Linked DNA regions of Neodiprion lecontei. The protein of the gene in region 2 interacts with the protein of the main gene of each other region in a pairwise test. Links are inferred from orthologs where the notes say so. Each region holds a gene or a part of one and is shown on either strand. Other genes may lie near its edges. The genes, in order: exocyst complex component 7 and vacuolar protein sorting-associated protein 51 homolog.

What was found.
Region 1: the proteins of vacuolar protein sorting-associated protein 51 homolog (region 2) and exocyst complex component 7 interact in a two-hybrid assay, tested with the Drosophila melanogaster proteins (2 studies listed by BioGRID). The link is inferred for Neodiprion lecontei from reciprocal best matches to the Drosophila melanogaster genes Vps51 and Exo70.

What each region holds. Positions count from the first base shown.
Region 1 is NC_060262.1:16,400,154-16,416,519, reverse strand, and holds the start of exocyst complex component 7, read right to left. Parts: upstream 9,906-16,366; 5' UTR 9,738-9,905; coding exon 9,521-9,737; intron 4,016-9,520; coding exon 3,474-4,015; intron 1-3,473. UniProt on the Drosophila melanogaster protein: Required for exocytosis. Thought to function in intracellular vesicle targeting and docking before SNARE complex formation.
Region 2 is NC_060262.1:411,536-429,357, reverse strand, and holds vacuolar protein sorting-associated protein 51 homolog, read left to right. Parts: upstream 1-6,341; 5' UTR 6,342-6,470; coding exon 6,471-6,551; intron 6,552-6,692; coding exon 6,693-6,827; intron 6,828-6,886; coding exon 6,887-7,108; intron 7,109-7,200; coding exon 7,201-7,796; intron 7,797-7,877; coding exon 7,878-8,091; intron 8,092-8,180; coding exon 8,181-8,405; intron 8,406-8,505; coding exon 8,506-8,840; exon of another isoform or gene 8,841-8,854; intron 8,855-8,946; coding exon 8,947-9,124; intron 9,125-9,621; coding exon 9,622-9,734; intron 9,735-9,960; coding exon 9,961-10,069; 3' UTR 10,070-10,288; downstream 10,289-17,822. Other genes in the region: uncharacterized protein LOC107220091, read right to left, coding at 3,952-5,883. UniProt on the Drosophila melanogaster protein: May act as a component of the GARP complex that is involved in retrograde transport from early and late endosomes to the trans-Golgi network (TGN).

The DNA.
Region 1 (16,366 bases), about 16 Mb from region 2:
TCATGCACCCTCTCTACAACCTAAGTCAAATCGTCGAAACACAGACGATGAAAGCAGTATACTTCGCTTTAGCGCATTCGATTATTCAATACGGGATCACAGCATGGGACAGCGCCTACCAAAAAACAATAAATCCATTCCACCAAACGCAGAAATCAACCATCAAAATTGTGCTACAGAAACCAAGAAACTACCCTACAGAACAACTATACAAAGAAAGTCAAATCCTTGACCCAAGACAGCAATATCTGAGGAACATCATTATCAGTCTCCATAAAAGCCCGATTGAAATAGCACTGCGACAACAACGGCATTCATACGACACCAGAGCAAAACACCTGGGAAAACTTGAAATCAGGAAATGCACACCAAACATGGACAACAAATGGAGGAGTACATTGCAAACAAAGCATGCAAAAGACTACCTTCAACAACGAAAAAAATTACGGTGTATTCCTTCAAGAAAACAATCACACCATGGATACTACAGGCAGGCAGAACACTGTACGAAGAGTTGACTAACACAAGTATATAGGCTACATATAACAAGAAACACTTGAACAATAACATGGTTTATCAAATCTAGCAAATGTGACATACAGTAGAATGTAGATACACATCACACACCACGCCTTGGACAATACACAATTGAACGTACAAACACCCTACAACCCTGCGCATGACAGGGACAAATCACACTAAAATACAGATGTAAATATACGAACCTAGATGAGGGTATAAAAATAAACTAAACTAAACTAAACTATACTAATAGCTTAATTTCTGCCAAAAAATTTTTTTTTCTACTTATTATACCACATGTTAAAACAGCTGAATGTCATGTAATATTTCAATTGCCAAAAGGGGGATGCTGATAATCAAGTTTAAAAGGTTTCTCATCAGTGTTAATGCCTGGTCGAGTGAGACATTACTTTGCATTTCTTCTCAGTGCCCTCTTTAAGTAACACGACGCTTTATTAAGGAAATTGTATCAAGATCTATCCCGAATTGTCTAATAGTTGTGAACATAATGCAATATGCTTTGCATATCAACAGTATGCTAGGAAATTTATAGCAACGTTATTTCAGTCTATGGTGATGCTGGGACATGTTCTACTGGCAAAATATTTCATGCTGGTCATTTTGCAGCAAACAATTAAATGTTTAAACATTCAATATTTCTACTAAAACTATTAGCGAAAAAAAAAAATACCATAAGATATACAAAGCAACTGGTTTAAGCTCGTTTTATACTAAGTTTAAATTAACTTAAAGCAGATGCAAGCTCTTGATGGATGCAGACTTTCAAAAATGTATCGATAGTACAGAGGCTTGTATCGAATCTATTATTAGTGGTTTTTGGAAGTATGTGAACAACAATGGGGGTGCTAATGACGTGCCAGGCTGTATGCACTTGTTTGACCGTGAGGCTGAGAAAGGGATTGACAAAGCTAAGTAGTTCGCAGAACATTTTTTCAGTGTGTATGATGTCAATATTACTCCCTGGTCTTATCCTAAATTTCTTTTAAGCAACAACCTATGCATGTTTGGCCTGCAGCTTAACTTTGTTGAAGTTAAACGCTGCATCGAGAACATTAAACCCAATTCTAGTGTTGGCCCTGATGGGATACATCCCTTCATTCCATCAATGACGAGATATTCCAGACTAGTTGAAAAGCGGAGTTTTTATCTCACCTTTATAAATCTGGTGATAAGAAGAATTTCGGCAATTACTGTCCCATTTCTAAACTGAACTTATTGGCTGAGGTATTCAGCGCAACAGTGGAGTCCAAACTCTCTCTATACCTAAGGACTCATGTCGTTCCTCGTCAACATAACTGTATACTCCAATCATATCGTAAAGGAATTAATTGAAAGAAGTCAGACAGATTCTGTCTGTACCGACATGGTTAAAGCCTTTGACAAGATAAACCACAAGTTGAAGCTCAGTAAGCTCAACATTTATAGCACTGGAGGCTCTTTGCTACATTGGATTGGGTCATACCTTACTAACAGGTCTCAAGAAGTCCAACTTAAAGGTTTCCTAATAAGTGAAATTCGTGTGCTATCACATGAACCCCAGGTGTCTCATCTAGGGCTACTATTATTTTTTACTTTTATTAATGATATTGGCCATGAGATATATCACTCTAATTTCTTACTGTTCACTGACAACCTCAAAATTAATGAAACTATCAATTCTCAATTCGATACTTTCTAACACCAGAATGATATTAGCAGCATCTCTCGATGGTCCCGGGATAATGCGCTTAGATTCAATCTTAAAAAGTGCTCGGTCATATCTTTTTCCAAGCTAGACGGGGTTAATGTAGATTATTTACTTAATGACATATTATTGACCTGTGTTAGTGTTGTTAAAGATCTTGAGGTACGTTGTGATGGTTGCCTTAATTTTGGCACCGACGTGCAAAATGTTAGGGATAAGGGTCTACAGAAGCTTTACTTCGTTGCAATGAAATCAAAGGATTTCAAGTGAACTAACCCTAGTTTGTCTTACGTTCACCTATGCGTTGAATATCTGGACACTGTATTTCGGCAAGTATAATGTTCTGTTTGAGCAGGTACACCGTAAGTTGTTGAGGCACCTAGCCTATAGACTGGGGAGACCTACGATCCTTATTAACCATCATTATGAGGAGATAACTAGGGCAGTCAATATCTGTATGCTTGAATCCTACTCATGTTACACCGATGCTATTTTGTTTTTTTGAAATCTTGATTGTGTTGAACTGATTGGTAGCTTCAACTTCTACATTTCACGTAGACTTTTCAGTGGGAATTACGACCAGTTCTGGGCTGCGACTTACCCTGGGGACTTTAGCTGTAGGTCAGTGATGGAGAAACTTAGTGTGTTGTCAAACAGAAACTATGAATGGCTTGAACTATTCGGCTGCACCATTTCATCCTTTAAAACTATTTGCAAGCACAAACTGCTGGATTTTGGCTGATTTTACTATTTTTAATTAGCATAATATGTTCTTATTACCATTCAGAGTTTGCTTCTATATAGTTATAATAATGTGAAGTATGAAATGGAGATTGTCGTGTGTATTGTGTTGCTCTACATAGTCATGAGAAATGTTAAATGGAGATTCTCATGTATGCTGTTTTATTGCAAATAGAATTCCCGTAGATAAATAAATTAGTAAAAATATTTAATCAGGAGTGAAAAATTGAAGGAGTTTTACCTACACATACCCAGAGGTTTTCTTGGAAGAACCTGCTCATTGCACATGCGATTGAACTTGCTTACTGTAAAACTACAACCATAACCTCTCACTTATTAAGAATGACCCAGTCATAGCGCCAGCATGATCCACTAAGCAGTAATCGTTCTGCCTACCATGCTAGTAAAATTTTTACAATGTCGATGAAAACTAAACAAGTTGCAATTGTCCAGCAGGTCCTTGCAAGGGAACCTCTCGGTGTAAGTGGTAGGTGACTGATCTTACAGGCATGGGACTAGTGGCATGAATACTCCCACCGCTGGCGCTCCTTTGATGTTCCTTGAGAAGTTGAAGCGACCTCAAAACAATTGCCGATCTAACAGATGCATAAATTTGTCCGTGTTTTCTGTAACCTCTTTCTTCAAGCCAGTTTGCTATTTTGATTAAATCGTCAAGGACCTCTTCTGGTAACTGGCACAATGATTGGTATGCTTCTTCACCACTACTAGCATCTTCATCTGATGTTATTAAATCGAGTAAAGCGATGGGCAGCACTGGTTTGCTCTGCCGTGCTAGAATATCTTTGAACTCGGCATATAGGGATTCCGAACCAAGTGTAAACATCGTCGAAACGTTCTCCAATTCAACAGAACTGGGATTATTTTTTTGGAAATATCGCTGTGCATTATGTAACCGGTTCATGGCATCAAGGAAGGCATCCAAACCACTGGAACTGGCAGGTCCACTGCGTATTGCCAATTCAACCTCTTGGCAAACCCCATAATAACCAATAGCATGGTCCAGTATTGATAAAGTTTTTTCTATGTCTGAAATAGAATGTATGAGTGAGAATGATTACTCAAAATCCTACTTTTATCTTGCGGCTACATTTTATTCTATGATTATAAAACTGATGCTTGTTTCGGATTTTTAATTGCTTATTTAACTTAAGAGCTAATTTGATGTACCGCAATAACTTTAGAGAAGTTGAGTCTGAAAAGTATGGGTATATTTAGCTTTGTTGAAGTTTGCCTAATTTAAGGCAGCTACATTGTTGTGAGTAGCAATTTTTCCTAAAAATCCTTGTTATAGTAGTTGCACACAAATAACACATCATGAATCTAGGCACCTCGGACAGTGGATTCATCATTTTTATTATCTGCCATTGATTTAAATAGCCACTAGTTGACGTGGTATATACTAGAGGAAATATAGTGTATCGACAACCTATACATATTGCCTATATGTAGATCAAAGGGCAATTTCTTATTCAGAGACGATCTTTTCTCTTCATGGACAGTTTTATAGTAACTTGTCCCATATTTAGGATCTTGACGAATTTTTTTAAGCATACCCCCCAAATCAATTTGAAATAATTAAAAAACAATTGCGTACTTTTTTCAGATTTTTATCTCAACTCTAACCCGTGCAAACAACAGGGTGGATTTTTTCGTTTAAAATACACGTGTTTCAGACACGTTCTCAGCATATATTTTACTATAAAAGTAATAGCGTTCAAAAAAGTCTGTAACTGGGAGGTTTTAGTAGTCATTAGTGCTACTATCTAAGAAAAAATTTATGTCATCATACCATGCAATTATGGTGGAGTTGTAAGTGGCGATACGGAATTTGAATATTCGCGGCCTTATTAGACCACTAAAATGTCATATGAGAGGAGACAGGTGACGCGGCGCCCAGTGGCGTTAATTGCCGATACGGTCACGGTACTCGCCCGGCCAGTGAAAGGGGGAAGATCTTCGGTGACAACGGGATCTCGCTCTCTTTCTCTCTGGGGACGTTAAATAGACCAGTTGGGTGATCATCCATAACAACCTGAGAAGGAGGAAGGGAGGGGAACGTGGACTGTATACCTTCGGCATATCCCAATCGATTCGACCACCTGACGACCCAAAATTTTAATTCTCCGCCAACTCACCACCCGAGAGTCCCCGGAATTTAAGGGAAAGTGCCAGCAATCAACAACGCACGTGAGACGAGACCGAGAAGATATTATTCATTTATTTTATTAAAGGAAAAATTAGACATCGGTTGATTGGATCCATATCCACAAAATTGAAAATTCTTTTAGTTTGTACAATCTCTTAGAGTCAAGCAATTTTATATACAATGACAAACATTACTGTCAAATATTAGGTTCAGCGATGGATTCGCTTATCTGCCCCAGTCTCATCAATATTGTTTTAGAATATCTTGAACAAAAAGTGATCGATCAACTACCTTTTAGTCTTCCTTTTTATTACAGATGCGTGGATGACATTATTACTTGTATACATAGAGAGTAGATATAATTCCTGCTAGACAAATTCAACAATTTCCACTCTTGAACACAATTCACTTGTGAAATCGAAGAATCAGCTTCCTCAACACTATGGTCATTAGCGTAAGCAATATTGTTAATCTAGATTAGTACAGAAAAAATACTTGCTGTCGGTGATATCTAAATTTTAATTCTCGATATTCAATGTTATACAAAACGTCTGTAGCTATAGGTTCATACGATCCGTGTATTTAAATTTCGGATCCTCTCTTTAGAATAAAGAATTTCAAAATAGTAGATGGCACACTTATGTGGAGAAGCGGCCAACCGTAACACCACAAATTTGTACTAGACTTTGCAGGATAAAAGAGTAATAAAAGTAAACGAACACGTATCTTAGCTTATTCGTAAACATTCGACCTTTTCCAAGAAACAATTAAAGATTTGACGCTGCTTCATGAGTCTGTTCGTCCGCATAGCATCGTGCTCAAGCAGATCGGTAGCGCAATTTGCTAGCATTACGGCTTCGAGTTTTTGCGCCTCGTGTTCACGTCCCGGCCAATTCTTTTATTTCATTTCTTCTTCTAAGTATGCTTCACAAATGTTCCTTATTTTATTCATAAATACGAGAGTGCTATATTTAAATTACAATTCATTATTCCGAAGCAATTGTCTGTTATTCCGAAATGGTCGTTGAAAGTAATTCCTCTAAAGTGTACTCCACTATGTCAACCTTGTAACGTATACTGCTACCGAAAAGTTAAAAATTATATCCTTCGACTGCAGAACTGCTCTTTTCTTACTGCACAGCAAAGGGATATCACAACTAGATATGACACGATAAGAATACACGCTTTGATTCGTAATCAATTGCAGGCGCCACCATATAAGAAAATGATTCGGTATGGATGGTTTGCCGCACAATTAACACCGGATCACGAAATTTTTAGCAGCGTCAATGACACTGCGTTTCCAGACAACATTTACACTGAGAAATTTGACTGAGGTAAAAGTGCCATCGAGCGTTGCTCGTGGTGTATAGAATTTTTATGTTCTGAATGTTTTTATGACAGTATCACCCTGAGGAATGCACCGGATGCTTTTGAGGTGTAATATTGTAACGATAAACACAATAATTAAGCTACTGGCTATTATACATTTGTGATTTCCAATTATTTTTACAACCTAATACCTTGCAGTATATTTCGGAATAACGGACAATTGCTTTTGAATGATGAATTGGAATTCCAATATAGCGCCCTTTTATTTATCAATAAAACAAGAAACATTCGTCAAACATTCTTTGGCGAAGATATGAAAAAAAAAAAATTGGTCAGGACTCAAACACGAGGCGGAAAAACTTAAAGCCGTAATGCTAACCACTGAGACACTATTCCAGTTGACAGCACGTGCAAGCGAACTCATGAAGCAGCATCAAAACTTCAACCGTTAGTTTCTCAGAAATGATCGAGAGTTTACGGATAAGCCAAAACACATCTCCATTTATATTTTACTCTTTCATTCTGCGAATTCGCGTGCAAATCAATGGGTTACAGTTGGCGGTCTCTCCTCGTTCAAACTAATGGTTATACTCTATCCTCAATTAAAACCAAAAAAAGATTTGAAAACATAAATTTTATAATAGCACTGAAAAAGAAGCCAATTACAATGAACATCAAAAATATGACGTCCATTCCTTATGTACCAGATTTGACACACAAAATTTTTAAACTCTTTGCACAAGAAGGTATTAACATCGCATACAAAATCTCTAATGACTCAAAGAGCCTTTTCTCTAAATTAAAATCAGAAACTTTGATTGTGGATCAAATCAACACCATATACAAAATAGATTGCAATAATTGCTTTTAAAGATGTATTGGGCAATCGTCACAACACCTAAAAAATGAAATCTCAGGTCACAAGTCTAATATCGAATCACGTGATCCCGATAAATGCGCTCTAGCTCATCACAGTTTACTAAAGGCCATATTTTGGATTTTGACAACGCTAAAATTATTTTAACATGTGAACGAAATTGGTACAAGAGAATTTTGTAAGAAATTATTTATATTTCTAAAAGCATTATTATTACACTTTTTCGCTCAAACATTAAGAAACTTTCTTGTTTATAAAGTTTTTGATAATAAACAAGAAATCGAAGATTCCTAAAATAATCTTTTTTGTGGAAAAGTAAATGAAAGAATGAAAGCATAAAGATGAATCAAAAGTTAGGAAAAAAAATCTACAGTAGCACTATTTGCGTCAATAATGGTGCACACAAATGGGACCACATCTCTACTATGGAATACAATGGCATCAGGACAAATTCGAATAATACAAGAAATCAACATCGTAAGGAAAGGTTTTACGATGAGTACGAAGTGCCTCTAATGGTTTAGGGCTTCTTTTGTTCAACATGGAAACCTGTGGAGATGGCGTAAGGTAAGGGTACACTCAACTCTTCAGGTAGATGACGTAATAGTGTTAGAGGGGCGGTAAAGCCTGCCCAAGAGCCTCTCCAAAGTTGCCTACTTTGGGGTCTGCTTGGATTTTTTTAAAACAAGAGTCGAATGATACTTTAGCATACCCTAATACTCAGGAAAAACTTCTAGCCTACGTGTACGAATGCTGCCAGAGATATGGGGGAACCAAGTTGTCAAATTTCTTTATACTTGGTAACACAGCCCCAGAATCAAAAATAAAAAATTTCAGATTTGAAAGAGCGACCATGACATTTTCATATAGTTTTTGTCGCACAGTCCAAATGTGATGTCAAAAATACATAAAAGAAATTATTTCTTGATTGAAAAGTACCTTAAAGCTTTATTTTTATGAGCAATTAGTATAGTATTTATACTTCTTACATAATAAAGCGTCGGAATGTGTGTATGAAGAAAAAAAAATTGGCATATTTATCAACTCTTATTACTTGCTTTTAGAATCCAACTATCTTATATGTTATACCATTGGATTCGTTCCTACAAAAATATATTTGTGTACAAATGTTATAACAGATATTTGTGCACATAAGACTTGTGCATTACAGCTTTACTGTAACGTGGTTATTTTAAAATTTTTAGAAATTTCTCAGGATCAGATGAGCAAGCAAAATGGCCCAATAACATTGGAATCAGATCGAACCTACGATGGTTCAAGCATTTTGAATGTATTAATTGTCAAACTTTTTCTTGGTTTAATATCTTAGCTTGTATTATTCGAATTTGTTCAGAATCATCTTCACTATCAGCAAAGTTGATTCTTAGCTTCGTTGTGTTATTGGTCGTATTCATCGTCAATCACACCAATGACATTGCTGGATACTTTCAAACATTATTTTTCACTTCACTGATCATTTACTTCATGTATCATGGTTTCGTTAATCCTTAAGGTTGGACATATTATACTAAGCCTCCATTTGAATTAATTGAAAAATGATTCGAATTGATTATGTGCCTGGAATTCCAATCAATTAAGTTCGATTGAAAACCAGTGTTGCCACTTTCTGGGATTCGATGATGAATGTTTTTAAACCGTAAATGTTACCTGGATAACTATTTGAAAGTATGATGTGTTAAAATTATGGCTAGGAGTATCATTGATATATGATTGTGACCTATAAACACTTCGATCAAGTTTGATCAATCGTAACTGCTGGTACAAGACAGATTAAAAGACGGAAAAATGCAGTGAAACGGAATATAGAAGAAAGAGTTAGAAGCTTTGTAGTTTAAGCAGTATCAATCAATCAAACTTGCTCGACGTGAACTTTATGACGAACAAATGCTAAATCCAATAATTAACAGTAAGTTTACAGTTTCGTTCTGTCAAGCAGGTAATAACAAATTTCTATCTAATCCTAAGAAATTATCATCGGAAACGTGATATTTGCAATTATTTCATTTTTCGAGCGAGGGTGATTGATCTGAACTTCAGGTACATTGTAGTTGGGATTTTGTTGAATCAAAGAACTCACCGCCGAGCACTTACAGTAAAAAGAATCCCTAAGCTAATATATTACTCTTTGCGCGTAAAATTGTTTTGTAAGATTTACCATGCTGTTGATGTTGAAGATTTCCAGTCTCCGTATAGACTGGTAAAATGGTACGTTGGAGCGTAGCAAGGCGCTGCTCCAAGGATGACAAAATTCCAACAATACCGCCAGTAACACGTTTACTGTGATCAATCTCCGCCTTCAATGCAGCCAAGCCAGTAGCCTCGGCTTCTAATTTGCATTCGATTTCAAACCTGTGTTCCGACGTGTCGAGCATGATTTGAAATGTAAAGAATAACTAGTTGTCACAAACCCAATTGACAATCTTCCGTGGACGCTGGTGGACAATAAAAAATTTGGAACCCAAAGTGTTCGTCGCGTACACTTGACACTCCTTATTTTTCCGTTTGATTATTCTTCCGGAGAGGACGTGCCAGTTGCCACCAGTTTGCCACTGAAGTAGGGGTATATCTCTATTTCAGTGGGATTTGCCAACACTTGACACTGTTCGACATGACGTCAGAGCGGTAGTTCCCGCAAATTTCAGAAGTTAGCCAGTGGAGTTCGTTATCGAAAATATAGGTAGACGTATAGTTGGTGGTTTTGGTTCGCCAAATACCGATTAAACATTAAACTGCACTAAGTATCTCAGGTTAATCACTTATTTCAAATAACTGGGATTAATCCCTAAAAGGATATGAATAATCATGACCACTTACGATTTTGGAATGTTGAACTCCGCTGCGTTGACTGAAGATATTCCTATAAAGATTGATAGCCATATGGGACTTTGCGTAATCGAAAATTGACGAGTAAATTCTTTATCAAGCGGCGCTCTCTGCATCCTTTCTTGCACGCGCAACTCAATCCGGCAAGTGGTCGGTATGGGGTGCTTTCCATTTACTGACTCAAATCGAGTTGTGTCGCTATTTCTGGTGTAACCGGCCAATCTGGACAAAGGAATACACCAAAATTAGCGACACAAGTCGACTTGAGTCAGTAAATGGAAAGCACCCATGTAGAGGCAACAAGGACTGATGGTACTACCGCTCACCGCGTGTTCCCAGACAATGCGGTGTCGAATATCATTATGGATATGGTACATAGGCATATAAATAGACCGCGGGAGTAACGGAGGTGGCCCGTTTGTGAATGCGAGAGCGCAGTAGAAAGAGAAAGCTGCATGTGGGACCCCTCTATCCTTGTCTAATCGCGCATGCGCGCTCAGCGTTCTTTAAGTAAGAATGAAATAGAAAATGACTGGAGGGATGGATGTTCTTATATATTGTACATGAAACATAAATGAGAAGTTATAATTTGAAAATAGGAATAATACTAATAAAACATTACAATTAAATAATTGAATATTGAATCGTAAAATGCTGATCATCATTTTTATTAGGTAACAAGCATGAATAATGCACACAAGTACGTACTGTATAGTCATATACTGTAATAAAACATTGAATATTATTATACTTGGAACAATACGTGAAAAAAATATTATATTTTCGTAATATATAGAAATATTATTTTACAAGAAATTTATAAGCATATCTTGCACGAATATCCTTTTTGGCTCATTTGACTTTGATTATCAAATACTTATAAATAATTTGCAAATATTTAAAAAAATTATTGTCCTTTAAAATTCGTTAGCTTATTGTTCTGCATGCGTATTCTTTGGCTTTGACCTCGTAGAAGTTGACCTCGCAGTATGACGGGGTCCGCGCATGCGCGACTATGCGAAGACAGAGTGGTCGTATATGCAACTTTCTCTTTCTATTCCGCTATCGACTTCTCTGTGACGTCGGAACGGTACCTGGTGGAAATATCCAGATGTGAGACACTGGAATCGTTCCCACCGCTACAGCTAGACTTACATCAGTAGTTCGGGTCACCAATTACCGATAAAGTATTGAAATACACCAGACAACGGGCATTCTGTCGCTCTAATTGAACGAACTGAGAAAGGACTAATTGTTGGATGAAAGATTTAATTAATTCGCTTACCTTTCGAGAATAATCTGGATATGATGACTTGCAGCGTAGATTGGTGAGAGGATTTAACGGAATGACTGATTTTAATATATTTAGATACTTTGATTAACTTGGATTTATTTTATAAGTTTAATATTTCGAGTCACAAACAACGGGGTTACTTAGTGTAAGATCTTAAATTAATACGACAAAATGGAGCTGAAAGCTCGCTGGATGTTCGGGCAGAGTAACGTTGTAGGAAAAGTTTAAATGCAAAAGGCAAAAGGATTTTACCGCGAGACTGTACCGGAACAAGATGACGAATCTGGTGGTAGAAACCAAGAGGACGATCAGATGATCGGTCGCCGTTTTTATAGGTGTCGATCGTTGCGCAGAACGATCCCCTTCTTTAGCTTTTGTCAACTTTTGCGCACCTTCCCCCTTTTTCTAGGAATTAGAATTAGGGCACGATATCTTCCCCGCATGTATGCCTGTGATCTTAGTTCTTTAGCTCTTACTATATTGCAAGCTTTTACATATGGTATAACGCTGCGTTGGTGCGGTGGTGTAAGTGTAGGGTCGTTACGCTTTAATTTTCCATTCTGCGTGGGCTTTGGTGTTGGGGCAGCAAGCCCCCCTTGGCTTCTCGGCTACCGTGCTTCATCTCCCCTGTGGGCGGTAGGACCCGGGCCGATTTTAGCAGCTATTTCATAATATGGTAATCGCAGTGCGTATGCGCTAGAGGTGACCCATGTTTCGTGGTGTACGTTAGTGCCGTGTGCATTTTCGGGGTCACGATCCACTGGATTCTAGTCGTAGTTTACTTCTTAGATATTCTCACTATCCTGTTCGTTACAAAGTCTATATATTAAGATTGCCATATCGGTTACTTGTCGTTTTGTTAGTTTTATAGCGTGTAAATATGTAAAATTGCATATGTATTTTAATTGATCACTGTCGTTATTCACCTGGAGTAAAAAAGCGATTGTTTATGAGACATAGTTGCTATTTGCTTAACATTATTAGGATCACGCTGCTGCGAATACTCTTGGGTGTTTGTGTTATAACTATCTTAACAGTTTTAGGGTATTTGAAAATTTGATAATTCGTAGTTTTAGAGCAGGTTTACATGTGTGCTTTCGCATATAATTCTCTTCTGTAATTACTAATTCTCATATTGATATTGTAACGTTCCTGGACGTTATGAAAATAAATATGGATTCGTGATTTGATTATCAAATGAAAATCAAAGGCGTAAATAATTGTTGTGAAAAAGCTTCAATTGCAGGGTACGTGTTTCTGGTTTTAAGTCTGAAACGAGACTATTTTTACAATAATGTTGGTTGACGCAGCAACCTTATTCTTTTGAAAGACATAAGAGGTTGATAAACGTCTTTTATCTATGATGACTACTAGATCATTAAAAGGGGGCAAAACGGGTGATTTCACCCTTTGTAACAATATAAATCGGCTTCGAAGCTACTAGAACTTGTTCTTATGTTTGTTGGTTGCCTATTACTGGGCGTTGCCACGTATGCATCTTTGAGTTTATTGCGAGTTGATTTACCTTCAATCGTTTCGTCGTTAAGTTTCCGAATGTGTTCTCTAGATGGAGCTATGTATGGCTCCGTATTGGAGATCTGCATTGCCTTCAAAACGCTGCGCGTGTTGCCTACTATACGGCGTCACGGAGGAAAGTATGATTCATGCTGGATAATTGGTATTCACGATTTTGATGGTTTTGCAGTTTCTGGTTTTATGGATTATTGCAGCAGTACACCTATCTTTACATTATTTCGGTTAAAAACGTATCTATGGTTTTACAGTCTTTTATACTCCAGGCTATATGGTATAGCGTAAGTTGCTTATAGTAGTGGTTTTCCAACTACGACACAGAGCGACACAGTGCGACACAGTGTACGCCGTCGGGTGTTCCAACTACTACACGATGTCTCACGGAGTCGCTCTTATCCGAGTCTCAAAAAAGTTGTGTTTAACCGTGCAATGAATATCAGCGTTGCCAACGCTGTAGTTCTGTAACCAAAAAGAAACTGGAAAAAAGAGAATTTTAACGTTGTCAGCATTAGTCTGCATGATTGCATAAATGTAGAAAGTAATAAAGCCGGTCGTACCGTACAATGATCACACTCTTTAATTTAAAAAAATAATTTGAACGAACGTTTGTTACTTTTATCAATATTATGTACAATTTATAACATGCGTTTTAGTACTCAAACTCGGAGGATACATATCTGTCAAATGCCTAGTTATTTTCCCACTCCGTTCTTGGAACATGCACGCACTCTCCCGTTCAATTTGAACACTACAGCGTTCCAACAACAGCCCAGTATACAATTTACACGGAACGACACAGAACGACACAGAGTGCGATAGTTGGAAAACCCCTAGTGTAGCTCTCAGCTCAGAATGCACAAATGGCATTGTCGAGTGTTATATAATAATTGGATATAATGGTGTTAGTTAATTATGGTGTTAATATGATAGTGGTATATAATAACGTATAATAATATTATAGCTCTTTGTAGTGCGAAGGTCTCGTAATATGAGGTTTGTTCGGCTAGCTACACTCTGCACTCGTGAGTGTAAAACGAACTAGGGTAGTGTACTAGGGATTGCTGGGGAGTGTACGTCGGCTTCTCGAGTGTAGCTAAGATAGCGCGAACGCAATAGTGTAGAAGGTGCAGAAAAGTGGGGACAAGAAAATGGCGCACGTTACGTACAGTCGTTTTTTTCCTCGAAACACTTATTAATACAACAAATTAGTATATAAGATAAAGCATTTTGGAATTTGTTAACGAAATCTTTCATACCTTATGTTTTAAGTACACCGTTATCAAATTGAACGTCGTTTTTCAAGTAAAATACTGTACTACTTTGTTCTGATTTGTAGTGAGGTTATGGGTTTGCTGTCACTCGTGAGTTTTAAGGTATATATCGCATCACAGTTCACTAACGTAGTGGAAAAACCTGTAGCATTCATGCGGCTTGAACCATTTACACTTTTTACACTTCTTACACTTGGTCTAGACATAGTGCAAAAAGTGTACACAAAGTGTATATAATATGCACTGCTTAAGCACGAATGAAAATTGAAAAATTGAAAAAAAAGTGTACACAAAGTGTATATAATATGCACTGCTTAAGCACGAATGAAAATTGAAAAAACTGAATATACACGTGCACGTTGTATGCAGTGATGGCGGCAACTTGGCGGCATATGTGGTTGCATGTGGTCACATATGATAACTTTATATATTATATAGAGGTAGGCTACTGCCGCGGATTTTAAAACCGACAAGTCACATACATAATGGATTAGAGTTGTAAAATGATTAATAAAAAAAAATGGGTGCGTGTACTTATGTACGCGCGTGAGAAGTTATACTTCTTTGTCATCATTAAAAAATACACAACATGTCAAAATCTTCTGTCACACAATGATAAAGAAAAGAAGTATGTAAAAAAAACAATAAAACAAATAACGGATGTCTTACATTATATTTAAATAATCTATTAAATTTTTGTCACGAACTTTTTATTAAATGTTCTATTAAATTTATTTCTTTATTTTGTAAATTTTAAAAAACCAATAATAAATATTCAACATTGATAATTTAATAATATTTAGTATTAATTATATTAAATAATGATATTTTAATTTATATCAATAAATAATACATACGGATAACTAACCTCAATTATATTGGAGCACTTGAAAAAGTATTTTAGCACAATTTTTTCACTAATATTCACAAATAGTAAATAATATTAATCCAAATATTCAATTTAAATCACTACTGAATATATTTTATTGCCACATATATAATTCGCACTTGTATGAAAATAAAACACGTGTTGTGACTGTAAAAACTAAAACCATGTGGATAAATATTTAGCTTTTTTTCGAGATTTAATGAATTCGGTTGAGTGGGCAACTTCATCCTGTTAATTTTGTGTTACAGTTTTGTGTTACAGTGATGCGCGCGCATCCTGAAATTTCACTCTCATCAGTTTTTCATAACGCGCCTAAAGAAGTATAACTTCAAAAATTAATACATTGACCATAAAATTTCATTTTGTAATGAGAATTTTTTCCAGTGAACAAATAAATTAACTCAATGATTAATAAAAATTTTTCAGATTACAAAAATAAATTCAACGGTTAATGGAAACTTTTTCAAATGAAAAATTATAATAAAATCATAATGTTTAATATGCAACTTTTTCCCATGAAAAAAAATTGAAATAAATGTTCAGTGAAATTATAAAATGCTATAATGCCTTGAAAAATTTAATGCTATCTAAAAATGCTCATGCCATGCGGCGCATCTCGAAGTGAAACGTCAAACGTTACGTGCATGCCATGTGTTTATCACTCTATACGCGATGAGATCACGGCGTGCGAGTCATGTGTCACGCATTACGCTCGCACTATGTGACTATCACGGCGTGCGGGTTACGTGCGACGCACGATTGTTATCTGGGTAACGAAAGTCTAGAGACATTTGTGAAACGAGCAGCGTCATTCGACGTCACGTCCGCTAAAACGAACGCGCAAGTGTACACTCCCCACGAAAGTGTAGAAAGTGTATCTAGCACGAACAAACCTATGGTTTTGAAGCTTTGGTTAGTGAATGTCATAGTTGTTTCCATCTAGGGATATTCCAAATAGTTAGACAGTTGTTTTAACACCTTACGGTTATAAGATTTTCGTACTTCGAGTTTGGTTAGTTGATAAAAGTGACATGCAGTAATAATAGTCGATAAAACATACGGACGTTCCGGTCGGATGTTACACCTTGTTCCTCATTTCACGTTTCATAGACTTTCCTCGACAGAACAAAGAGCCTTATTGGCCTCCTTCTTTCAAGGCAGGTCTCGAGTTGCCTTAAGGAAACCTTCGGC
Region 2 (17,822 bases):
TATAAGTTCTTGATCATTTATTTCCGTTCAACTGATACGTTGAAGTTTTTGAAGATTTTTTTTCTTCCCCGTTTAAAAAGGCACAACTGCTCCACATCTGAAGTTAAATTCATCAATTACCGAAACGTAACGCCGCAAATTAAGCTGATAATATTTCCACCACCTTTCAACAAACTCCCAACATCGGATATAGTTTTTTTCTCATCGATCCAGACTTGTCCAAAGTAATGAAACATTGATGTGTAAAGTTTGTTGATGCAAACAAAGACACCCTCCTTATTTATCTCCCTAAAAATATGTAAATTACAGAGAGGAATAGAGAAATTGATATGAATATTAAAATATCAAATGTGCAATGTATAGTGGTTCCTAATTTTCGAACTCTAGTAAATTCTAAATGATTCTAATCTCTGAATTAACTTACCGATTTAACTTTTCCCGTCTCAATACATTCAACACAATGCTTGTAACATTTAGACTAAGAACAGCGAATGGAAATGTATTTGATTTGGTTCTCGATAATTCATAGAGCGTATCCCTGATAATTGGATATGTTGTGCACATGTACAGTAATTGCAATACTCCTAGCATTCCTACGCCACGTAAATCAGTCCATGGCAAATCACTCTATGACAAATTAGTTTAATTAATATGCTAGTCTTGCGACGCCTGTAATATTCCAGAACGAACAAATCGCGTCAGAAGTCCGACGATCGACGTAGTTTACCTGGAAACCAATATTTTCCCAAATGAATTCCGAGTCTCTGCTTGATACTAAAGAATTGTACACTGTTCTCAGCATTGCAATATGAATTTTGTTTTCCTTCTGGTAAGGACCTGAAAAATTAGTAAAATTTCGATTTTACAATTATCAACGACCTTGTAGACAGAATTGATATTAGGAATTAGAAATTCTGCTGTTTCGACTATTGTTCTACTTGGCAATGACTTGATTCCCCTTAGAGAAATTAGACAGCTGGTATGAAGAACCATTTTATGGAAAATTCACTGCAAAGGACATGGACTATAAGCATCCTGCAAGTAGCGTCTGTACGGAGCATCCTTTGGGTATTCTGTGTAGATGCGGAGAATATGGGAGTATAGTAGATAAATTTCAAAGCTACACGGTAGGCACGCTGTTGCCGGTATTACCTAAATTAGATATCGGTGAGCCGAACTACGAATAAACTATTCTTGGGTCGTCATAATTTTATATTACACAGCTGGTATCAAAATTTTCACAAAGTGCGATCGTGCTTAGAACCCGTAGCTTCAGGAAGCGTTATATGGATTCCAAGAAAGACTGAAAAGTTTCGCGAAAACAACGAACCTGTAGTATATTACTGCAGAGCAGTTGGACCAGAAACAACCGACAAAAGGGATGTTGAAAAGCGATGGATTCCAGTCAGACCTGACGTCGTTTCACCCAAGTCAGTGAAAAAATGATTCAAGAGTCATGACGTAGAGAGTATCGATATAAAATCGCTATGCAATTTAATTGGAATATTCAAAGTACCGTAACTCTAATATCACAGATACATCAGGCCTAACGAATGTCATCTTCATCAATCACACCTGAACTCCCAAAGCGCCGTTACAACTACACTAACATGTATGCTTCCTCACCGAGGCAGAGTTGTGAAACGCAAAGACATTCGATGGGATGTTGGGTCGCACAAAACCTCTGTGGAAATGACTGACGAGTTGGAAACACACTGGGGCAGACCAGCCTGCTGTTCTACGCAGTGGGCTGAGGCATTTACAGCCTCGACAGGATGCCCACCGTATTGACTCGGAACCAGTATATTTTTGTAGCCAAAATTATGATGTGTGATTGTTATTATATTTGAAAATCTTACGATAAGTTTTTTTCGATCGAGTACTTACACTTTGCAATGAGAAATATCAAGTTAAAATCACTGATGTGATCTTGTTTCAGTTTGGATTTTCCACGGTTTGAAAAACACGAAAATATCCCTGATTTCTTAGCGCTCGTCACATTTTCCTAAAAAAAGATACTTTCTTCATACTCTGGTACATCTAGTTGCAGGAAGTTGAGCGTGAATCGTGATAATGAACTGTGCGTAAATATACTACATTGTACTCCGATAAGTCAGTCTCTTTGAAATATTCAAGGGCCTGATTGTAGGAAATTATTTCTTCCTTATCTGTACTTGTATGTGGAATTGTTTCCAAACTATCCCAATTGGTTTCTGTTGTATTGAGGGTTGCACTGTCAACATATCAAAAAAAAAAATTAATGGTTTTGTGCCTTGGTGAATAAAATTCTCACTCAAGTACTTGACAACTCACTCAGCATCTGCTTCGTAGCAAGGATCTCTGTTTTTATCAAATACATGAACTGCTCCTGCATAGTTATTCCTATATTCCTCGAAAAGATACATACTTACATGGAACTGATAATGGAAATAATAAAACTACAAGAAGGAGTAGATTGAAGTTTTGGCTGAAAAGTTTCATGGAAGAGATATTGATCTTACAGAAAGCAGGGTAACCAATCAATATATAGGCATGTAGTTTCTTCCTTATTCATTACACACACAATTCTAGTCTTCGAATAATACTTTCAAAAGTAAATGTTCAAATTGTGCGGTAATTTATACACATCAAAATATTATTGTAAAAATATTTCTGATTTATTGCCAGGATGGGTACATTATAAACTTTTCTGACTCATTTATCGTACTTGCAAAAATCAAAAATGAGAAACTAAATCTTTGGACTAAGAATAATTTTCAAGCTGAATAGTGGTAGCCTTAGATTGCTTTTGGTAAAATTTTGGCAGGATGTCTAGCGGCAGGGAAATAAAAGACTTCCTGAAAATGCCAGACTTTTCACTTACCCATTAGTTTTTCCGGGAATGAAAGTATCTCTTTAACTGCTTGTACAAATAGATTATATAATGTAGATATACGAGTTGAACTTGTATGATACACTACTGACACATATTATCCTCCCGATATTGTCAAGGGGCAAGCAAGTAATTATATTAAATGAAGGCAATGTTTTGAAATTGTTTTCTAGAAAATTTTTCATTTTCCCTGAGCACCAGGAATCCTATTTGATTGTAACATTCAGCCCGTTGTGTATTTTATAAATCGTGAGCTATAATTAAAGTGACGTATAGAACAATATTTATTACTATACTTTTTACAAATTACATAGTATACCCATTTTTGCTCCAAAACTGGTATAGATATCTTTATACATTTACTCCGGGTATTTTTCATATGTCTAAAGATCTTTGAAAAGCGTGTCCAAAAGTACCGAAGTAGTAAGATAAAAAAAATGTGTCAACTGACACGATCGAATGATCGAGGCTATGAATAAGATAGAAATATTTACATTTGGATGTAGCGAATTTACCTGTAATCCGAATAGTCCTTCGAAGAGCTCGTATAATCAGTAAGCATATATTATAAAAAAAAGAAAGGAAATATATCCTTTATCTAAATAATATTCAGAGGATGCAGAGAAGTTGAAGGATAAAACGTCAAACCTAAAAATCACGCGGTTCAAATTCTTCACTTTCCTTTTCTACTTACAAAAATACTTTAAGCTACCAATCAGCTTTGCACAAATATTAACATGATCTATCAATATTACAAAAGTAAAGTTGATTTAGTTTTTGATATTAAACGACAGTGTAACAAACCGTTTGCCACCGGTTCGTATTTTTTTTTTTGCGTATTTCGCAATTGCATAATTCCATCAACATTAAACTTACTAAAACTAATTATTTACAATCGAGCAATAATTGAAATTTTGTATTTAATTAGTATCGCATCGTTCATTATACAAACGGTTTGATATTATCAGACAATTATACAACTTACAACTAGATAATTTATAACTCAAGAAAGTTTTTGCTAGCAAAATTTTATCACTTTCTGTAGCACAAGTGTCCGTTTTTCAACAATCAGATAAATCTTATAGATTATCAATGACCATATTAACGATAGATAATTTCAACTGAGCCCTAGCCTTTTTTGGTAGCCTTTGCATTTTAGGTGCAAATTTGCGGAGGAAAAATCCAATCTCGCTCTTTATAGGAAGAATAGTTTTCCTAGCGAGCGAAGATAACTTTCTACGTTGCCTGACTCTTGGTTTCTGAACGTACCCAGTGTCTGTAGTCTCCTCAACCTCATAGTAGTAATCATCCTTAAGGTCGGTTTGTTCGAATTTAAACGTCTGTTCTTCGGTGGTTTCTGCACTGGGTGAAAGGACAATTTCCTCCTGTACTCCGAGTTCTTCATAGTCGACCGTTTCCTCGCGCTCCGGTGAGAAGGTCAATAAATCCGCCAGGGTATGCTCAACCGATTCATCCGCTTCCTTACCAGACTGATTTTGATCATTCTTAACGCTCAACGGAGTGCACTGAACTAATTGGATATTGTTCAGTGTAGTAATGGTTGACGATTTCTGTTTCTTGCTATTCCCCTTGCGAACCCCCTTGCGACGCCCAGATGGGCTTGGCTTTTTGTTTTGATCCGGTAGGTTTATCTTGATCAATAAGCCGGGAGGCATGCTCGACAAGCTATGAACGGGAATGGGAGTACCCAGATTAGTTATGTCGCCTGTAAATGGAAGAATCATTTTTTTGCATTCGTTTACAGATGTTGCTATGTTGTTAGCTATCGTAATCGGTTGCATAGTTCCGGCCTGAATGAGTTTCCAATTATTGTTCGGCGGCAGCGGTAGTTTTCTAATCATCCTGTTTTCTATATTATTAGGATCTGGTCTGGGGATGTTTATCTGAGTGGGCCTCTTCGATTTACCACGTTTCTTGGCAAGCGGAGCAGGTTTGTTGTCTATTTTAGGCTTCTTGCTGGATACCATGGGCCTGATTTTAGACTGCTTCTTGGTGCCCTTGGCAGAGCCAGCACATTCTTCCTCTTCCGCTTCTTCAAAGTCATCTTCAACATTAACAGCTGTATTTGGTTCATGGATATCTCGGATCGTCGGCACCGCATCGCAAGGTCCGACTCGATGGAAGCTCTGCCCACTCTGAAAGTGCTTTGAGCATAAGACTAGCTTCCTGATTTGGTTTGGAGACATTTTGAGTAAATCCTCTCTACCCAGGAATTGGCACCACCTCAAACATCGCCCGATCTCATAAGCTGGAAACGGGTGAAACTTATACCTATCGATTTTATTTCTCGGATCAGACCTTGATCTTCCACAGGCGGCGCAAGCCTGACTCTCCAACACGGCTTGTGGAAGGGCTTCCAGCTTCCGAGTCCTGTCCGGATGATGGAAAAGCTTTGACTCGGGAGCGAGGTCTATCAGGAACGGCTCAGAGTCCTCGGCTTCGTCGGGATATCTGATGTTGGGAACGGCATGGTCGACCAACCGATTACGGTATCCCTTGAGGAACTGGGAGCGGTCAAAGTGCTTGGAGCAAATGTAGCAGAACAATATCTCCTTGCGGGTGAGCCTGTAATAAGAATCAACCCCAACAAAATCCAGCCATTTTAGACACCTGAATTCCTCGCCGGGAAAGTGGTGGAAAGTGACCCCGTCATAAGTAGAACTGGGGGGGTCTCGACGGGATCTACCGCACAGAACACAGGTGATATTGTAGAGGGACTGTTTCGGGTCGTATATCGATGGTATGGCGGTGCAGTTGAGACGGTCGAAATACGAGTTGAGGAAGTCTCTCTGTTCGAAGTGTTTCGAGCATACCATTCGTTGGAGCAGCTGTTTTTTCGTCAGCTTGTAGAGGTCCTCGCGACAGCAGAATTCCAACCACTTTTTGCACCTGGTCTCGTCGTTTACCGGGAAACCGAAGAACATGTACTCCTCCTGCCTGTTGTTCGGATTCATCCGCGATCTGCCGCAAACTACACACGGGTGCGGCATCGTAGGGGAAATTTTAAACTTCCAACGTCCGTTTACTTCACTCCCGGAGGATCAGCTCGCGCACTGTATCATTCGAAACTCACTCGGATTGACTGAAACGCTATGAAACTGTCATTATTAATACTGAATCGTACCACTTTTCGACAGCGTAATCGCATCGAGGAGGTTATAAAGTCGTCATAATAATAAAGCGTCGTACGACGCCCAGCGAGAAATTAGCGAACTCGATATAATCACGCAACATCGAGTGGCTTTATACACATGGAGATAACATTCGAGTACGCGCATGCGCGACTTGATAAGGGCTATTCTGATACACTCTGTCACTCTCGCTCTGCGCCGTGATTGGCCGAGAGCGCTGCTTCAGCCAATCACGACTAGGTGCAAAAGAGAACCGCTGTTATCTTTGGCTAGTCACGCATGCGCAAATGGAACAGAGGCTCGGATTTGAGTCCGACGAATCGAGACATCGGAGCAACGGAAACGTGTAATGGAAACGCGGGGACGCAGCTGTCACAACACGAAATATCTGTGGAGATTTTGACACTTCGGTGTATCAAAGTGAATGTTCTTTCACGTTTAGAAAAATGACAGAAAATACGAGCAATCCGTACAACATAAACGGGCAGCATTTCAACCCCGACATGTATCTGGAAAAAATGCTCAAGGTTAGGCGGCTCTAACTTATTCTCATAACCTAAAATTCAATCAAAATCGTAGTGAAAAATATCGGTTTTATTAGCCACGATTATTCTACCTACTTCGAGGTTTCGCAATCTAAAAAATTTTGTCTTTTATACCAAATGCAGGAGTGCACACTGAAACAGATCATGGACAATGAAGCTGAAATAATTCGCGATACCCAGACGCTTCATTCTGACATGCAGACTTTGGTATATGAAAATTACAACAAATTCATTTCTGCTACCGATACCATAAGAAAGGTGAGTGTTTTCAAAACATGTGAGAACTGGCAAAATTCTTATCGACATATTGATTTCAGATGAAGAATGATTTCAAGAAAATGGAGGATAGCATGGAATCGCTGTCCAGCAACATGGACAGTATCACGTCATTTTCGGAACAGATATCTTCAACTTTGCAAGGCACAAGGCAACAGATAACGAGACTATCGTCCGTGCACACTCTTCTCAAGAAGCTACAATTTCTATTTAAGCTGCCAGCTAAATTGAAAGATAAGATGAACAATGGAAACTACTCCCAGGTGAGTAAGGAAGAAAAGGAGGAATAAGGAAAACGGATACACGATTTACTCTTTGTGCAGTGAAATTCAACCAAGTTTGTATAATTTTTCAGGCTGTCCAAGACTACATTCATGCTCAACGTGTCCTGAACCAGTATGGAAACATGCCTTCTTTTCAAGGTATACAGAAGGACTGTGAAGAAATAGTCGAGGAGCTCAAAGTTAAACTGAGAACTCAGTTCCAGAGCAGAGATGCGACCACAAAGTCTCTGGCTGAGAGTGTCGATCTTTTGCTCCAGCTCAAAGAGCCACCCGAATCATTGTGCGCGGAATTCTTAAGTAATGCCGAAAATAGGCTGACCGAACAGTTGAAACAACTCAAGGACATGTGCGAAAATGACGTTATAGAATTCGTGGATATGGGAAGTTCGGGTTTTATGAGCGACCTTTGCCTCATTGTCGCTTCCTATAAAGACATGTTTGTCAACAGAATACCCCTGGACGACACAGAGTTCAGTGACGACTTTGACTCTAAAGCCATTGCGAAATTAGACACTTTTGTTCTGAATAACATGAAGAACTACTTTGATCTCATTGGTAAAAGAATTGAGGATGTTGGGGATACTGCAATCTTAGTTCGCGCGCTAGACAGGTTTTACAGACGCTTACACGCAGTCAATACTCTCTGCAATGAGACCGATTTTTCCACGTATGTTAAAAAATTTATTAGATTTTCTATAGACATTGATTAAAAATCGATTTCCGATTTATATTGACGCCTGATGTGTAGGACTGCAACAGAAATTGTCATAAATGCTGGAAGAAAGCAGTGCAGAAGCCATTTACACTCTTTGAAGCAGCATCTGACTGAGGCTTTGGCTAAAGTAAGGCAAACGCTGGCTGCTAAAGTTAGTCAAGATGGTGACACAGGTCTTGCAGAGTTACAGGCCTCTCTGGTCATGCCTACGATAGAAAAAGTGAAAGGAGTCCTGCAGGATTTATTGGTATGTATGTTTTGTTCACAATAAAACGTATTTGTACTCTTTCGCCTATTCGACCAAAATTTTCATGACCGAATTAATGTTACTTGCAGGTATTCCTGCAGCCTGAATTAATGTTCAGTGGAAAATCTCATTTCCTCCAATGCTTTTGCGTTGACGAAGTTAGAGAGGGATTAGTGATTGGATTTTTACATCATCTAACTGCCACAGCTAGCGGATTCTGTTCCGGATCTGACGTGCCTAAATTTCCCCCCACATTACTATTATTGCTGAGCAAAATGTGCATCGAATTTAAAGAATCTAGCGTACATTATCTGGCAAGTTTTGGAACCAAATATTTCGAATAAGTAAAGAATACTGATTGTAAAAAAAAGATAATAAGTTCAGGATCTATTATAATGTATTTTTCAATTACAGTTAACCACAACAGACGATCTCTTCAACATTCAAAGGCATGCATCTTTGGCAAATTTTGTAACGTCAGAAAGTGAAATCTGTAACAACTTTCAAACAGCAGCTCAAAATTTACTAAATCATTACGTGCGACTTCAGGGATTATCTGTTTCACAAATGTTGAGAAAGTCAGTGGAGACACGAGATTGGCTACATACCATTGAACCCAGAACTGTCAGGGCTGTGATGAAGAGAGTAGTCGAGGACGTGACGGCAATCGAGCTGCAAGTTTCCGCCTTGTATGATGATTCAGACGGCCAAATTGATAGGAGCAGCGATAGTAGCAGAAGGACGCATAGGTACGGTACTGAGTCTAGAAAAGTAAACACAAGAGGTTAGAGAATTCATAATAAAATTAGTAGGTGCAATTGTTACGAAATCATTAACTATTAATGCTTATTTCAGCGTCAGTGTATCAAGGCATCAATATCGATCAAATTGGTCCTCCTACACGCCAAGTCATCTAGATTCATCTCTGGTGACAAATATTCACAAATTGTTTTCAGAACGTATAGAGATATTCTCTTCGGTTCAGTTCAACAAAGCTTCGATTCTGACTGGAATTATAAAGATCAGCTTAAAGGTATCTAAGCATTCTCAGTAAGACACTGAGTCTTTTCAACCACGATAAACCACTTTTCAATCCCTCTCAATCTCTATCCAATCTGTCCCGCTAATTGAGAGAAAAAATTTTCCTAAAAATAATCACAGCTCCAATCTTACATTGTGACGTAATGCGTGAAGATATACCGGAGTATGATATAACTTCTAGTAGATATGGTACATACATTAATGGTTGCAGCTTGTGCAGAATGAGCACAATGACAAAATAACTTAGCTATTATCCACTTTGCGTTGTCGAGGTATTACGGTAGCTTCTCTGTGCATATAAAAAAAAAAAAAAAAAACTATGCAATCCATGGTGTAATAAGCATTACTCTAATAACAAGACCGCAGTGATCAAATTCATGTATTCTACGCTTTGAGGAGTGCATCTCTCTATTGTACCTCTCCACATTTTCGTCGGTCTGATTGTCAGAAAAACCAAATATTTTATTGATCGTTTCGTATTGATTTCAGACATTTTTGGAATGCGTCAGATTGCGCACGTTCAGCAAGTACGGCCTACAACAAATACAAGTAGATACCCACTATCTCCAGCTTTACTTGTGGCGGTTCGTTTCCGACGAAAAGTGAGTTCAAATATTTATTATTTGATAACCGCAATAAGTCTGGCTAAAGTACAACAGTTTTCTGATTTCCAATTTGTGTGGAATTAAAAGAGGAAAAAAGTAAATACCGATGTAAGGAGCACGTTGAAAGCCCGGAATTCTTAATCCAACTATAAATTTGTTCAATCATCTCCACCCGGTTTTTCATCAGATAATTCTCTGACGAAATTTTATTCTTTTTTCACAGCCTTGTACATTTTCTTCTTGATGAAATATTAGGAAGCGCGGTTCACAGATGTTTGGAGCCTGTGTTAATGGAGCCCAGTGTCGTAGACATTATTTGCGAACGGGGTTGAAGGACTTCCTAATTCCGATAACAATATACCTACGTGTAGTTATACTGTTATTTATATGTAGCGCATACAAAGTGAGAAGTTATACAATTATTAATTTATACAGAGCAATTATAACATTACATATGCAAATAACTACAGTGTATACATTATCGTGGACACTGATTACGCTAATGTTTGTAAAGTCGGTGAAATTATATTACAGATATGTACATATAATAAAAAAAATCATTTGAAATACAAAAAATATGCCTCTTCTTGTAATACAAGTACTGAGGTTATTTGGCGCTTGATATTATTGGAAGAAAGAAAAAAAAAAAAGGTGCCGAATAGAAAGGAGAAGGGCGGGGGGCACGAGTTCGAAATAACGACGGAGGTATGCGGCAAGAAGAAGTTAAGACCGATTAAGATCATTTAACCCCTGGACAGCAACTCTTTGGTAATGGGTTTACATTATAGCCGCGGGTTTGTAAGAGGCAGCAAGAGGAAAAAGAGCGCTGCTCGACCGCATCCAGTGACACCATGACATCTGAATTACATTTGTTCACGTTTGACACCACCATACAAGTACGTACGTTATGCACGCGTGTAGGTGGGTGGCCAGGAATTGCTGAATGGGTACTTATACTCGCTGAATGCTCCCGATCTCCCTCGGTCATCCATTTCGTGCATACGTACACATATATACCCATACACGTAGGCGTATGTTATAGTTGCAGGCGGTAGATATAAAGAAAGCAACTCTCTTAATCCCTTGATAAACTGACATTGGACCATTTTCGGTGTATGTGTAACTTATAGGCAACCATCGATATCAGACGATAAAAAAACTCGACGCAAGTTCGTCAGTTCTGATTTTGCCATATCGTTTAAATAGGTACGATGCAAATAAGTACAAAAAGAAATTCGTTATCAATGAATATTTATACACCTACATTATATATACTCTCTTCGAGTAGCACATAAATTTTCTACCCCCAGACGTATGATCGCAATCACGATGCGGACGGTAAGTTGCATACGATGATCGTGTTTGTATGTACGTACTCGAACACGTATTGAACATACGCCGTTGTGTTCATATAAATTCAGGTTGGGTAGGTAGACGTTAAATTGGTCAAAATGCGGTGTGTGGGTCTGCGCCGGATACCCGGGGAATGAATCTCATCCACGGGGAGGAAGTCCAAATTAACGCCACTCAGCTCGTCGCACTGCAACGCACACATGCGACCTAACACGCGTATACGTATACGCATTGAAACACGCCCGACTTGCATACAGGGTGTAAAGAAAAAGTCGGCTTTTCTCGCGTACGTCGATCGCCTTCTCGTGCCTGTAACGTATAACTGCATAGAAGGGTGATGAGCTAGCCAACAATAATTGGTCACGCGAAGAAATTACGACGATCCAATATCCTGAAATCCTGCATAAGATGGCGAAAAAATGCGCGAGAAGTTGGTGAAAAATTTCAGGCATAAACGGGAGTGTCGGAGATGTACGCGATATTTCATCATTGGGTATTACGTCGCATAGCGCATCATTGAGAGCACACGAACGGCACACGTGACCTCAAAAAACACCTGTGCATCTGGGTCTCGTGTGTACATTAGGGAGAATGAATTCCCCGATGGCAAGCAAACGTCCACTCGACCTTAGACTACTGCCACGTTAAAAAGACAATCCAAGTGTATTTGAGAAGAAGTCGCAGAAATTGTTATCTGATTTCAATATCATAATTACTGTACAACATCCGCATTCTATTCGACACTTTATACTGATTTGTTCTCTTCGACAGAGTTACGATACGCAGGTGAGTCTTGCCGCTGAGTTCTGTTACAATAAACCAGGTTTGTGAAATATTTTTATACACTTTATGGGTTGTTGTTTTTTTTTTCTCTCTCTCTTTTGTTCTTGGTAACCATCATTTGCGAAAGCTCGTACGGATCTAACCGAGTTAAATTGTTTGACATTGGAAATGTTTGATATGGAAATACGTCGAAGAATGTTAAATCCCCTTTTGCCGTAGGGGTTCGTCATGCACCAAGGATATAATATCTGTACGAATTTGATAACGTGGCGAATATGGTGAGAAGAATTTCTACAGCAAATAAACGCCCACTAACAACCGTGTGTCGTATGCATGATACAATCAGCGGGCCTACACGTTATATATTATTAACCATGTCTGTTCGTGTGTTATTATACAAGCAATATATGTATATATAGTTATACATATACCTGTATATATATGTATATATGTATATATATGTATATATATATATATACATGTACCTACTCGCAGGTATAGTATAGATATGTCTAGATCCGTGAGAATCAAAGATTTGTTCAACAAATCTGAATGGAAATAACTATTTGTTACGCGCAAAGTTGGTATAAATTTGAAGTGAAAAATAGATAAACGGGTAAGAGCGGTGAGGATGATCTGCAGCGGAAACCGCTATTCATCGTCACGATTCGAAAAGCGATGTATCCAAACGAATAGAAACAACAGAGAGGGTATAATATCGTAACTCGACAACGCCGCTTTTAAAAAGGATATTCATATTAACGATCGTCGTCATCCGAAGCGTTAGTGGCGTCGTTGGAACGGCCCCGTGCTGCCAGAGGGTCGTAAGTACACGGGTAAGTTTAAATCAGCTTACAGTCAACCCGCATGGGAAGAGAAGAAAGTCACGGGGGTTACACCGTTGCGCCGGAGTTGTTGGGCGACCCTGTCGTGCGGCGGTAAAAAAGCCCTCGGCGCTACTTCCAGGCCATTTCCATCATGCAACAGTGTAAGTGGCACTGCACCGACCGACGCCTCGCGATGAAAAGGAAGCATAGGGGCGCGTATCGTCGGTATACGTGACGAAGGAATCTGCATTACGGGAGGATTAATCACCCGACCCACGACTCGTGTGTTAAACATTTCGTTCCCAGTTTCATATCCTATGTTCAGGGGTCCTTGCTTGAACCAAGAAGCCGACAATGGCCCTTCCAGCGAACACAGAGTATCCGTTGTTTGCCAATTTATTTGTCCCTGGATACAGCCTGCATGATTCATCGTTGTCGCATTCAGCCCGCGGTATCTTCTGTACACACTGATCGTATTATTTTTCTCGATAATTAACGTGTGCCGTTGGAAAAATTTAACTAAACACAATGTCCCAGCAGGTCTAGTTCTGCAAGCGAATATTATGAGATTAATTTTTGTAATATTAATACTTGAATCATCGAGTAAATATTTAATTTGCAAATTGTACTTTTAAAATGGTTAATTTAACCCGAAAATTTAAGTCGACCTGCTGCGACATTCTTTTTCTAAACGTTAATACGTACGAACTATTACAAGATCTACAATTGTTGTATTCGTCGTACGTGGTGAAATTGATTTTATAGAACACGAGCATACGACTCGTATTGCAAACTTACGCTCGGCCCTAAAATACCGAGTTTGTCTCCTTGTTACACAATATACTATTATACATGGGATTCCCTATGTCCAGCATAATCGAATGGAAGAAAATCATGTAATTGGAGGCGTTTCGCTTTGTGACCGCAATAATGGGCAGTTTTGAATCCGTGCTCGTTGTTGTGTTCGCAGCTCGGACCGTCTTAACCACTATATCGACGCTAGAGATACGAATTCCAAACACATACCACACCGCGTTTTATACATCAGATTTCGGAGAATAGGTACCTACCGAAACCATCGTCGTTCATTTAGCGCATTGTAATAAACAGTTGCCAGTACCGCGTTAGGTGGCGAACTATGCAACCCCCGCGGTCAGAGGGTCAACGGTCAGTGGTCAGTGGTCAGTTTCGATGACTAACGTCTGCTGGACTGACATAGAAAATACACAGCAGACGCGGGGCAAACGTAGTTGGGTGATTAGTTTTCCTTAAGCATATATACGCACGTACGCTGTGCAAGCGGGCGTAATCTACTTATGCTTGCAATACTCCAAATGCTCCAAACTTTTCCAAACTTTACACAGAGTGTACGTATGTATCTGTGCCGTTCACACTGGATGCATGCTATATAAATTCGGACGTATTTCCATCGAGCCCGCTCACAAGTAGTCAAGGAGGGACCGAGGCTTAAACTCCTGCGGAAGATCGGAACCTTCAAATATTCGTCAACTCCTCCGAGTGCATCCGCGTGCTAAGTAGTAGTGCCGTAGGTGACTTGAGCTTGAATTTCACCTGGGTACGATTACTTTCCACGCTGTTGCGCCCGAACTGCAACGGATTTGGAATACAGCGTATAATAATACAAGTACAGTAGGTATAATGTGGTTTTTATAATCGAGGGGGAAAAAGTGGAAGAAAAGTGCGAAGAGCATTTTTTTTTTTTTTTAACACCCGTATATAGTGAAAATCTACGGATAACGATGGTTAGATGTTATAGTGCGATCCTCGGTTCGTACTTTATCCGCATTTAGAAGAGTTCGACTCATAGCCGAGATATTCGATTGGTCCAGGGATCTTCAACTGCGAGAAAGTTCTTCGTTCTTTAAAGCTAGTTCAGCACGCCTCATAAATCTTAGTTAATGTTCAAGCATATTATGCCTTCTCTCGATTTTACGATATAAAAAAATATTCTCAAGTCTTTTTCCGCGGTATTATAATCGAAAGATTTTTAGCTTGATCGGTGTTACATGTAGGTACATAAACTTTGAATGAATCGCGTCACGCGATTTGAAAGATTGTGGCAAGTGACGTTACTTTGGTCCAATTCCTTCTCAAGTATAAACATGCAATAAGCAGGTAACTTGTCTTCCAATATTCTTTCTCTCCGTCTCACCGAGAAAAAAAAAAAGGAAAGAAAAGAACGAAAAGAAATTTCTCCGACTATTGTTACAAGTACGAAGGATTGGAAAAATGTGCCGCAGCTCAACCGACCACCCCGTTACATGTTCTTCGTTATACGAACACGTACAAGCATACGAGGTACAAGTTATAGCCACAATACAAGTGAGGTTCATTCAGCACGGGTCACCGACATGCAGTGATTTCAATTGATAAATTGATTTGGTGAGAGAGGAAGGAGGAAGGAGAGACGAAGAGGAGTGCGATTCGCGAAGTATAAAAGAAATTTGTAAAATGAGGGGGAATGAAAAAAAATTTAGCGAAAACTGCGAGGGTTGGGACGAGGAAGGGGGGGATGGGTTAAGAACTAAGAGGCGACGAAGCACGAGGAGAAGAACAGGGAAAAGAAGAAGAACAAACTTGGTGATTATTAGGGAGTTGTACGTCGGCTGAATGCCTAATGCACGGTCGTCCTAGGATTAAATTGACCAATCATTTCCCGCACGGTAAGGGAGCGACCAATTACTCTGACCGCCGTACTATATTAAGCCAATCAAGGCTCGTTTATCACTCAGTCGAGCATCTTCTCTCGCGTTACGCGCATCTCTCTCCCCCCTCCTTTTACCCTCGCATACACAGACACGCGTACACCTACGGTTCATTACTCATACAGAAAACACCCACCCGGACAGAGGCAGCTTGCGAGGAACGCGATTCGCCGCAGTCTTTAGTAAGCCGAGAACGCGCGAGAAAGTCCGGGATTCTCGATGAAATATATACCTACCTACGTGACGTTAAATTTTTCGTAATCATATTGTTCCTAGGACGGTGGAACGAGTTTTTGAAAGTAGAGAAAATATTGGGGAAAAAATTCGCGTACAACATAACTACGGATTTTACGCGGCGTTGTATTGCTCGATGTTCGAGAATCGGTTCCGCAACGTGGTTTCGACCAATCGCCCTACAGGTAGAAATGATAATTGGCCGATCGACCAGCCGTCGATTCATTCAAAATCAACCGCTCCCTCCCTCCCTCCCGCCCCCCCGCCCTCCACGTCACCCGTGAGCCCGGCAGGATCAAAAGTTCACGTTCAGATTTCAGTATAACTTTAATTGCCGCAGTGAGTATAGTGTATAACAGTGTCGTGGATCGAGGTAAGACAACCAATCGTTTATTAGTTTCAATTCAAACGTTACGCACTACATAAGCTCTACAATTTGAACAACTGTATAATAATCGGATCCAACAAGTGTTTCCTTCGTTATCATCAATGAAAATTTTATCATCGGCGATATTCGTCGCTGGGTAAAGTTGTGCCCATATTTTACTACATTTTCTTTTTTCATCCAAACGCGTTTGAATATTGGACTTCGATTAACGCCATGACAAATTATCGAGTTATTATTTTTTTTTTTTTTTGTACATACGTATATCTTTACCTGTAAGACGGTATATTTTGTGTACGGAATGATCAGCGTGTCCGTATAATTAATTATCATCATAAACCTATAAATCGTTTTAGCATTATGTAGAATACTGTACATGTTACGTAATTTAAAATCCACACAGCGTACGTGCGAAGCACAATTCCGATCGCATGTTATACATATTGGAAGGTGAAAGAAAAGAAAAGGAAAGCAAAGAAATAATATCACTGTAAATCATTGCATGACGTTGCGGATGGAAGGTGCACGGTAAGATATACATAACCAGCTTTGTTTCAGCGCATACACATATATTTATACGTATATGTATACAACGACGAAGACGACGACGATGTCGAAGGCGACGATGTTACACATATGCATACTAAACTGTAGCCAATTTAATTTAACGCGACTGAAACGTCATGTGGAGAATTATTTATTTCCAGATAAGGCGTGTTTTCATTTTTCTTTAGAGACAATAATATTCATTTTACCCCACCTTTAATACTGCTGGACAATTCTGATTTATTGTGCATTTATTACACTTTTTCAATATACTAACCAGATAAACAGTTGAAAATCTATTTCGTTTATTGTATACTGTACAGAGAAAAAGAGAGAGAGAGAGGGAGATGAGAAGAAGGCAGGGAAAATATACTGAAAAATAATTGTCATGCCTCAGCTCTGAAAATAGCGGTTTTCTCTTGGCGGAGAGGAGTTCCGAAGAAGGAGAGGAGCTTCCTTATCTTGTACTGACTTCTTAACCTCTCGCCTGTGATAATATGGAAATAACGCCACCAACAGAGAAGCAGCGAACCGTGATTATAATATACCGTCAGCTTCTTCTCTTCGTTGCCGTACTTCGACAATTTCGCCGATACGTCCACGCGTATAATAATAATAATAATAATAATGATAACAACAAGAATAATAATACCACAGGGATAATGTAAATTTATGACATACGTGCATTGTGCGCTATTATGCGTATTACATAGGCATGCCGACGCATTGCACGGGGTGGACAAAAGAGACTAGCCAGCTAGCTGCTACCTATAAGACGTATTGAAATAGGCGCGTTGCCCCTTTTCTCTTCTTTCAAATTTAACCCTTTGAGTCACACATTATTGTGTGGAGTCAACGTTTATAACAAGATGGTATTCCACGGTATTTCGGCTCGCTGATTACGAATCTGAAATCATATTTTGACAATTCGAGGCAGTGGATGCATTACGGTGGAAGGAAATTTCAAATTTGATCGAATACAGTCAAAAAACTCTATGCAGGAAGTTTCGGGTTCGAAATCCGATTTCAGATTCGTAATCAGCGAGCCCCAAAACTTAAAACTTATGTAAAACATGTGTATGCGTAGAGGGTCAACTTTCTCGAAAATGAATTATTCCTTCAATTTCCACGATTTTTTTAAATCAATTTGATTCAAACAATAATAATTTACATTATATCGCAATAATTATTCTCGAGTATTGAAAACCTGGTACACTATCAGAAATAGGAA